2 linked regions of the Mus musculus genome follow. The protein of the gene in region 1 purifies or fractionates together with the protein of each later gene. This does not show direct contact. Links are inferred from orthologs where the notes say so. Each region holds a gene or a part of one and is shown on either strand. Other genes may lie near its edges. The genes, in order: Gnb5 and Gng2.

What was found.
Region 2: the proteins of Gnb5 (region 1) and Gng2 purify together in Homo sapiens (affinity purification with western blotting; 4 studies listed by BioGRID and IntAct, with this or other methods). This does not show direct contact. The link is inferred for Mus musculus from reciprocal best matches to the Homo sapiens genes GNB5 and GNG2.

What each region holds. Positions count from the first base shown.
Region 1 is NC_000075.6:75,304,754-75,309,262, forward strand, and holds the start of Gnb5 (guanine nucleotide-binding protein subunit beta-5), read left to right. Parts: upstream 1-1,534; 5' UTR 1,535-1,620; exon of another isoform or gene 1,621-2,732; intron 2,733-4,509. UniProt on the Homo sapiens protein: Enhances GTPase-activating protein (GAP) activity of regulator of G protein signaling (RGS) proteins, such as RGS7 and RGS9, hence involved in the termination of the signaling initiated by the G protein coupled receptors (GPCRs) by accelerating the GTP hydrolysis on the G-alpha subunits, thereby promoting their inactivation.
Region 2 is NC_000080.6:19,871,955-19,876,456, forward strand, and holds the end of Gng2 (guanine nucleotide-binding protein G(I)/G(S)/G(O) subunit gamma-2), read right to left. Parts: intron 3,982-4,502; coding exon 3,853-3,981; 3' UTR 605-3,852; downstream 1-604. UniProt on the Homo sapiens protein: Guanine nucleotide-binding proteins (G proteins) are involved as a modulator or transducer in various transmembrane signaling systems.

The sequences.
Region 1 (4,509 bases):
ATAGATAGATAAATAGATAAATATAAATAAATAAGAGCATTTTATTTATCTATTTTATGCCATTTATCTTTTTTCTGAAATTTTTAAAACTTGTTATTAGCCAACATAGTTATTATAATCTTTCATTTAATTTTTAAATACAGCTATTTCTTTTAAAACTACATTTATCTCTGGGGTCAGAACTCAGTGGTAGAGCAGTTGGCCCTGGGTTTGGCCCCAGCACCACACATGCACACGTGTGCAACTTAAGTTTTTTTTTCCTCTTTCTAATCAGTGTTCTAATATGCTTTTTAAATTTTTTTTCACGAAAAAAAAAAAAAAAAACAACAACAGAAGATATGGGGAAGCTCTTCCTTTTGAGAAATCCACTTTTCCCAGGTTTTGTGAGAACTAGTTATTCCTTCCCTCAAACTGTTTTCCTTCCCTTCAGAGAACTGAGTCCTCTGATGAGCACTCCTGACCCAGAGCTGAGACCCATCACTCTGTGCACCCCTAGCAACCTGACCACCCTCCAGTCTGATGGTCACAGGCAGTAGCTGTGACACCACAGAATGGTCCTCTCTGGGGCGACCGGTTGATTGTTCAGTACCACCTACTAAACGTGTAGTCATCCTACTGACATGATGGCTTTCCAAACTGTTCCCAAGTGCTGAAAATAGAACTTTATAATACTTAAATAAAATAAATTATTGAGCAAATTGGATGCACCATTTTTTTCCTACCATTGTAGATTACATGCCTTCTCACCGCACAGCTCTGTGTCTCTCCTTGAGGGTCAGACAGAAAGGTGTTAGAATTCCACAAGTCACAGTCTGTCACCTGAGGTATGGAAACCCTGCTGACTGTGTCTGGGGCCCCCTGGCCCCCTGGCAGGATGGGGTTGGCTGAGTTTCTGCTCCGTGTCCACTCCAGTCCTCCTTCACCCTGTGAGGAGTCACTATGCTAAGGTTCTGGTTTTCTGGCTTGAATTCATGCCCACTTTATAGCATTTACCTGGGTCGTGCACCAGTAACCTTGGCCATCCTGTAAGTTCCTAGAGGGCTGGACTCCATCGTATTCTACATTTTATCTGTAATGCTAGGTGGTGGGATAGAATTGGCCAGATCCCATGGCGATGACAAGGGTTCGAGTGTAGGAGACCTTGTTTGGAGACAGGAGACTTGAGGATAGCAATAAGTTGATACACAGAGGAGAAAGGAGAAGGCCTTACTCGGGGCCTAAATCACTCATGCCTAGGTTGGAAGGAAGGCCAGCGCTGAGAGATGCTCTCACCACACAGCACAAGGATGTCAGGTTTGTTCCATGGAGTAGAGGCAGATTTATAAGGTCAAATCAGATTCTGTCTCCTGCAGAGAGCAAAGAAATGGGCCCAGGAAGGGGTACATGGGAGTTATGAGGGGTCCAAATCATGTAGAGAGACAGAGTGTTCTAGAAGCGAGTGTGTGCTTGCAGGTAGTGAGAGGCCGGCAGTGAGCATGCGTGTGCAGATGGGGAGGAGCAGGCCCTGAGCTGCAAGTCCAGATAAAAGGGATTAGGTGACCAATGGCTCAAATCTTCACACCACCGCAGTAACCTCCCTCGTTTCTGGCCAGCCACCCCAGGTGTTCATTGCTCTGTAAGGTATGTACTCTTTAACCTCAGGGAACTTGTGCTCTCAATTTTGCATCAATGCCTGGATTCCTACAGACCGGGATCATGGGGATCCTGTGGTGGGTGCACAGTGGGGGGTGCTTATGTTCTGGTCTGTGTAAATTCTAATTTCTCTACAACCTTTGCGACTTTATCTCAAAACTATAAAGGGATTTTTTAAAAACAGATTAGTGTTGGCATCAGTAAACAAATTAAACATCTTTAAAATAGCTTCATTGGTTTTCAGAATTGGCCCAGCTGCAATCAAACCCCATGCGTACAGCTGATGGAGCAGATGGATGACCACAGTGGGTCTGTGGCGTCCACCTGCTCCTGCCTCAGCCCCGGTCTGTTGTATTCTGCTGCTTGAATCCAGTCCATTTCTGGTGAACATGCAAAATGTCCGGCCTGGGACTATTTGTGAACAAAGCTGATATGACAGTGGTAGGATTTTTTTAGAAAATAAATATGTATTTCTATTGACCTCAGGAGTAGTATTGCTGGGTTTCTCTCTCTCTCTGTGTCTCTCTCTCTCTGTGTCTCTCTGTCTCTCTGTCACACACACACACACACACACACACACACACACACACACACACACAGCAATTCTTTATATATGTTTGTTTCTGGTCAGTTCTCTATAGTAGTTGAACCACTTTGTACCCACACCGGATGTAGGCAATGAAAGCTGCTACATCCTCACCCATGCTTTGTATATCAGAAGTTTTTGTCTTAGATCTTTTTTTAATTATGTGCATGTTGGGGTGCGGGGTAGGTATAATAGTGTCGTTGCCTGGAGACCAGAAGAGGGTGCTGGATCCCCTGGAGCAGGAGCTACAGCAGTTGTCTACCTCACAATATGCACTCGAGTCCTTCGGAAAAGCAACCAGTGCTCTAACTACTGAGTCATCTCTCCAGCCCCTGTATATCAATTTTTTTTTAATTAGGTATCCTAGCCTCACCAGCAAGATGGCTCAGCAGGCCAAGCTAAGACACCAAACCCAAGAACCAGAGTTTGATATTCAGAACCCATATGGTGAAATGAGAAAACTGGTTACCAAAAATGTTTGCCCTTTGACCTCTACATGTTCTAAATATAATAAGTTTTAGGAATTCTTGGGTATAGCTAATTGTGTCACATTGTGGTTTTAACCTCTGACTCTGACCAATGATTCTGGGTAGCAGCTTTCTGCATGGGACTTGCCTGAATAGCCTCATTTGAAGAGTCACTACACAAATATTTTTGCCCACTTTTTAAAAAATTCATTGAGCTATCAGGCCCACAATATGAAACTCAGTATTTAAAATGTTTGGATGTTTTTTTCATCTATGCACAAGGATGTGCATGCCAGTCTTTGCTGTTATTTAACTCAGGGTACCCCGTCCCCCACCCCACCCCCAAATCCCATTGGCATGGAGCTATCTCTGATTCTCCCTTCGCTGCCTTCTCATCGCCCATGGATGAGCTCTCACTTGTCTTGTATGCCCTGGACACTCCTGTAATGGTACCATGTGGACATTTTGTCTTTAGACACAAAGATGTCTCTGGTGTGCATCATCTTGCAGTGAGAATCAGGGCCAAGTCTTCATTATTGCTAGATAACAAGCCTGCTTCATGGACATGCTATGTTTTCTCTGCCTGCTCTTCCCTTGATGGGCATTGAATTGTTTCCCTTGTTTACCTAAAAGCAATGCTACTTCAAACCCTCAGATGTGTTTTTAATGCCAGGGACATTTTGCTTTTGTTCTGCATTTTATGCCAGTGCTGGGAACTGAGCCCAGGGTCCAGCCTCACCTCACATTGTTTCTGGCATGTATTTTTTGACTCTGCATGTATCTGTGTGGACATGAGCATGCCACACACGTGGAGGACAGAAGACAGTTCTTGGGAGTCTGTCCTCTCCTTCTACCCTGTAGGTTCTGGGGATCAAACTCAGGTTGTCAGCCCTGGCAGCAGGCACCTCTACTTACCCACTAAGCCATCTCTGCAGCCCTTCCACATTCCAATTATTCAAACTAGTTATGCCAATGAAGACACTCCATGAGACCATGACTTGTGAACAGGTCCAGGACCTGCAGTTACAGGGCACACACTCAGTTATTTTCATGTCCTGTTTCCAGTTATTTATAATGAACATTATAAACGCTGTCTATGACTTGGAATTTAGACTAAGAAAAACAGTATTGTCTCTATTCAAACTTGGAACGTTAGCAATTTTTCAAGATCTTTTTCTTTATTTCTGATGAACTGCCCCCTGCCACCACACACACACCTATTCCTTCGTGACCTTTGTCCCTGGAGACGCTCTCAGCCTTCACTACAGTTCTTGAGAGTCTCTTCCTCTTAATCTCTCCCTCTGGTTCATCTCCCTGCAGTGCTCTCCCTGACCTACTTCTGGGAGAACAAATCCGAGCATGATGCACTTGAGGGATGTTCTTCCCTAATGCTATTACCTGATGTCTCAGCTTGACCTTGGGACTAGCAGCAGCCACAGCAGGGCTGGCGAGTAGGAGACATTCTCCAAGCTCTGCTGAGCACATTCTTCCATGTCCTCTGTGTGTGTGTTCATGAGTATATGCTTGTGTGCTCATAGAAACACGTGTGTGTGAACATGAGTATGTGCTTGTGTGTTCATGGGAACATGTGTGTGTGAATCCCCATGTGTATGTGTGTTCATGGAAACATTTGTGTTCATGAGTATGTGAGTGTGTGTTAATGGGTACATGTGTGTGTTCATAGGTAAATGAGTGTGTGTTTTCATGGGGGTCTGTGTATGTATGTGTTCATGGGCACATGTGTGTGTGTTCATGAGTTCGTGTCTGTGTGTGTGTGTGTCTCTGTGTGTGTGTGTGTGTGTGTGTGTATTCATGGATGCCTGT
Region 2 (4,502 bases), on another chromosome or scaffold:
GTGTTGAGGCAAGAGGATTACAAGTGTGAGCACGGCCTGGGTTATAGACTGAGTTCAGGGTCAGTCTGAGCAATAAGGCAAGATCCTGTTCGAGTTTTTTTAAAGCAGAGGAAGAGCTAAGCATCTAGCTCACTGAACTTTCTCGGCATTTATGCAACCATAGGTTCAATTCCCATCCTGAGGGGAGAAGCCTTTGTTGACTGAATCTAGAATCTGAGGGCTCTGTCTTCTCTAGTATAGTTGTAAAATCACAGACAGAGAATAACACACTCTGAGTGGGGTGGGGGTGGGGTGGCATTATTGTGCAGCTACAGCAAGTTAAAATCTCCTTACATCTCTCTCTCTCTCTCTCTCTCTCCTAGCCTGCAGGACTCTGAAGACCCTCCCTCCAGTATTTCTCCATTCCCAAGGGCTGTACATGAGGCACAGTGACGAAGGGAGAGGACTCCTACACAGCACCAGATAAATCTGCTATGAACAGACTCCTAAAGAAAATAATTTTCTCTGTTTTCCCGACATTTTATATTTCCAGGTCCCTCTTAAATCAATACTCATGTGGGAGGTGGTCCACAGGTCTTTGCAATGAAAGTGACCCCGTAGGAAATGAATCTGAAAATTCCATTTATTAAAACAAATACACCGTTCATGTGGGGTAAAGATGCGCACATCACATTCAGGTTTTCCTGCTTTAACATTTCTAAGCTGGGTGTGGTGGCTCATGCCTTTATTCTCGAGTCAGAGACAGGGGAATCTCTGAGTTCGAGGCCAGCCTGGTCTACAGAACAAGTTCCAGGACAGCCAGAGCCACATAGTAAGACCCTGTCTTGAAAAAACAAAAAACCAACACAAAACAAAAAAACCCAACTAAACAACCAAACAAAAAAACCCAAAAAGGAAAAACCCCACCAAAACACAAGACCCCCCATTTTCTGTTTTCCCCTCTTTAAAGACACATTCCACAGATCTTATACAGGAAAAGTGTTAAGCTCTGAACAATTGTACAATTGTTGGGCTGTGAGACAGTAATATACATATAATTCGCCATTTGCAGGAGCAGCTAGAAATAAACACCAAGGGGAAAAAAACATAAAAAAACACACTAAAGGTCACCAGCTTGATTTTCTCAAAACTCACCGTGTGAATACAAGGATATGGGAAAAAGTATGATACGTCTTCTTAAATCCAATGATTTAAATTATATTTTACCTTCGAATGTAAAAACATTTAAAATCGGAGTTGATTATTAAAAATGGTTCAGGTATTTTAATAGACACTGCATTATAAGTATGACATTAATTATTAATTCCATGGCAGATTGTAATTGTTATACAGGTATATAGAAATGAGGGCCTTAAACAGTTAAACTGAAGTTTCCTATTAGTTACCCTAAGGTAAAATTATGCTGGTGACAATGATGGTTCACGTTGAAAAGAATTAAGCTCTTTGGAGATCCAAGTAAACAAACCTTTTTCCCTTTAATAAATACAAACATCAAGAAGTCAAATCTGATTCCAGCTATAGCTCCATACTGAAGGATATGAAATTGTAAAAAAGATGTTTTCCTGAAATTTCTATGTGGAAGAGGATTGAGTTTCCTGCCTTTTTATTCTATAAGCATGCTCACAAGTCATTTGCAAATTCTGAATTTTTAATTGTTAGGCCTGTATAAGGGGCGCCCTAAAGATTGTGTTTCCACTGGAATTGCTTCAGAGATCTCAATTTACACAGAAGTCCAGAATCCTCCTCGAGTACCCCACCCCCAACCAGCACAGAGTGCCCCAGTCACAGCTGTTGACACGTGAACACAGATTCATGTCAGCTCACTTTGAATGTGTGATACTTTCAGCTGATCCCTCAGTATTGATAATTGAATTACAGTGCAGTTCTCTAAAGACTGACAGTGGTTCTTTTTGTCTGTTTTGTTTTGTTTCTACCATTAAATCTTCATGAGCGTCCCGCAAACTATAACAAACTCCTGAGGACAGAAGTTTCTGCCGGAACAGAAGTTTTCGGCTACAGAATTGCATTTGTACATTAATAATCATTCCGGTACCCTCTTCTCTCCCACCCCAGGTCTGAACTTTAATTGGACATAGTTAACTCCTTTAGCTGAAAGCCCATAAAAGAGTTAAGAGAAATATCTTACCATCTATTTGTAAAATGTGTCCTTGCCATAGGAAGTCTTTTTCCCTTCTCTTTCCTTTAAAAGTACCACCAACTTTTAAACCATGAGGAAGAGAATGGTAAGAGGAGAAAAGAAATTTTACTTGGATTTAGTGGTCTTTTAGGATCTGAAAACAAAAAGAATCGTAAGAGGCTCTCTTTGACTGGGTAGATGACAAAATGTCTGAAGGCAGCCGAGGCCTTCTGTTACTGATGGAGGAGACAACTGTCATGAAAAAAAAAACTCACTCTCAATGTCTTACTGTGGGAGGAGAGCTCTAGCCAAAGGAAGCTGTAAATAGAGTGGTGAGGCTCTGACGAACGGGGTGGAGGGCAAAGCAGGGAATGCTTTGAAATTTTGGGGGAATGAGCTGGAAGGAGAGCCAACTGCAAGGGTTGGTCGGAGCACAATTCAGGGACTTTGTCTCTCAAACGAGCATTCTGAGGCTGGCTACCTCCCTTAGAGCTGTGGCTTTATTTCTTCTGATGCTTGAGCTAAAGAGGGCCATGGTTGTCTAGCTATGAACATGGAACATGTTCTTTTACATATGCTTTCGACTGTTCCTGGGACGTGGGAACGAGATGCTATTCTGACAGTGCTTTTCCAAGTCATCGTGGATCCCTGCCTGGTCTCCAGTTGGGGGCGTGGGGGGAACTGTGCTGCCCTGGATCCTGGGTAAGTCCAAATGCTGCGGACTGGGGAAACCTGTCAAGAGATACTTCTACCACAGTTCACTAGGAGGTATTTCAGGCATGGCTAAGGCGCTGAAGTGATCCCAATTTTCAAAATACAGAGGATTTTTTTTTTCCTCCCTGGCCTCTTTTTCTCTCACTTCTCTTCTTAGCTTTACAGCTGAACAACGAAACTTCTGAATGGATGCGATGTAGGGACATGTTCATGCAATAGTACTCACAAACTATCACAGATATGGAAGCACCAGTCACAACACGTGGTTCACTTTAACTCGTAGAATCAAAACTGTCATATACAAATATTAAGAATAGTGGTAAGAGAACACAGAGAGCCGGAATTGTGTGGTGTGTGTGTGTGCGTGCATGTGTGTGTGTGTACATGTATGTATTTCTTTCTATTTTCTTGTTATTCTCATGAAGAAATCCCATGGGGAACACTTTTCTAAACATCTCAGGGTTCATTCCTGCTTGGAGTTGAGACTAACACACAAACCCAGTCTTATCCTCTCAGCCCTCTAAAAGAGAAGAAAGGGAAGGAAAAGAAAAAGGCACAAAAGACTAAACGTGGAAACCATTAAACTGGATTGTGGCTACATGGGGCGACAGCTTATCAGAGGGTATTTGAAAGACAATTCTCATTACCAGAATGTCAGCCATATCTCAGCTCAGGACACCGGCTTTAATGTTTATTTTGTTTATAAATATGAAGCAGAAATGTCTTAGAGGGACAGCAGAAAAGAAGTGATTACCATTCTCATTTTTTATACATTTCCCTCCTCCAGGCCGGTCTGCAGGGTCAGATCTCTAAAGTTGGGACACGGAATCAGCTTTCATTCTCATAAGGGGACATTTCTTTAAACATGCACAGCCCGGAGTGTCCAGGATGGTTCTCCTTCCTCTCTTTAAATGCTGTGGACGAGAAAGGCGCCCACTTTGCTAGGAACTCTACATGTATGTCCCAGGAGCCCCAACACTCTTCAGCCTCCTCTCAGAGACTTAAAGGATGGCGCAGAAGAACTTCTTCTCCCGAAAGGGGTTTTCTGAGGCTGGGACTGGGGTCAGCAGAGGGTCTTCCTTGGCATGTGCCTCACAGTAGGCCATCAAGTCAGCAGCTGCCTTGGACACCTGCAAGGGAAGGCAGAAACATCTGAGAGGATAGACAGGCACGGACCCAAACACCACCACTCAGCCACTCGGGACCCCAACGTTGGGCCCCACCACCTTGGAGCTCATCAGGCTAAGCCAGAGGACCTAAGTGAAGGACTGCGTCCCACCTGCATAAGCTCTGCTTCCAGATGTGTAGACAGGGTTGTCAGTAAAACTGAGCTGACAGAGCTGTTGCTAGCAGGTGGGGATCCAGGAGCAAAGCACTCAGGGCCTCAAACAAAAGAGCCACTTAACTCAGGAATCACGCAAAAGCCAACTCTCTCCTTATACTTTTGTACCATGATACCTCAGGGGCTGCACCTGAGTCCCAGCACTGGTGACTGGTGACAGGATTATACAAGTAAGATAACCCAGGTGTGATGGTTTGTATATCCTTGGACCAGGGAGTGGCACCATGTGAAGGTATGGCCTGTTGGAATAGGTGTGACCTGGTTGGAATGGGTGTGTCACTGTGGGTGTGGGTATAAGATCCTCACCCT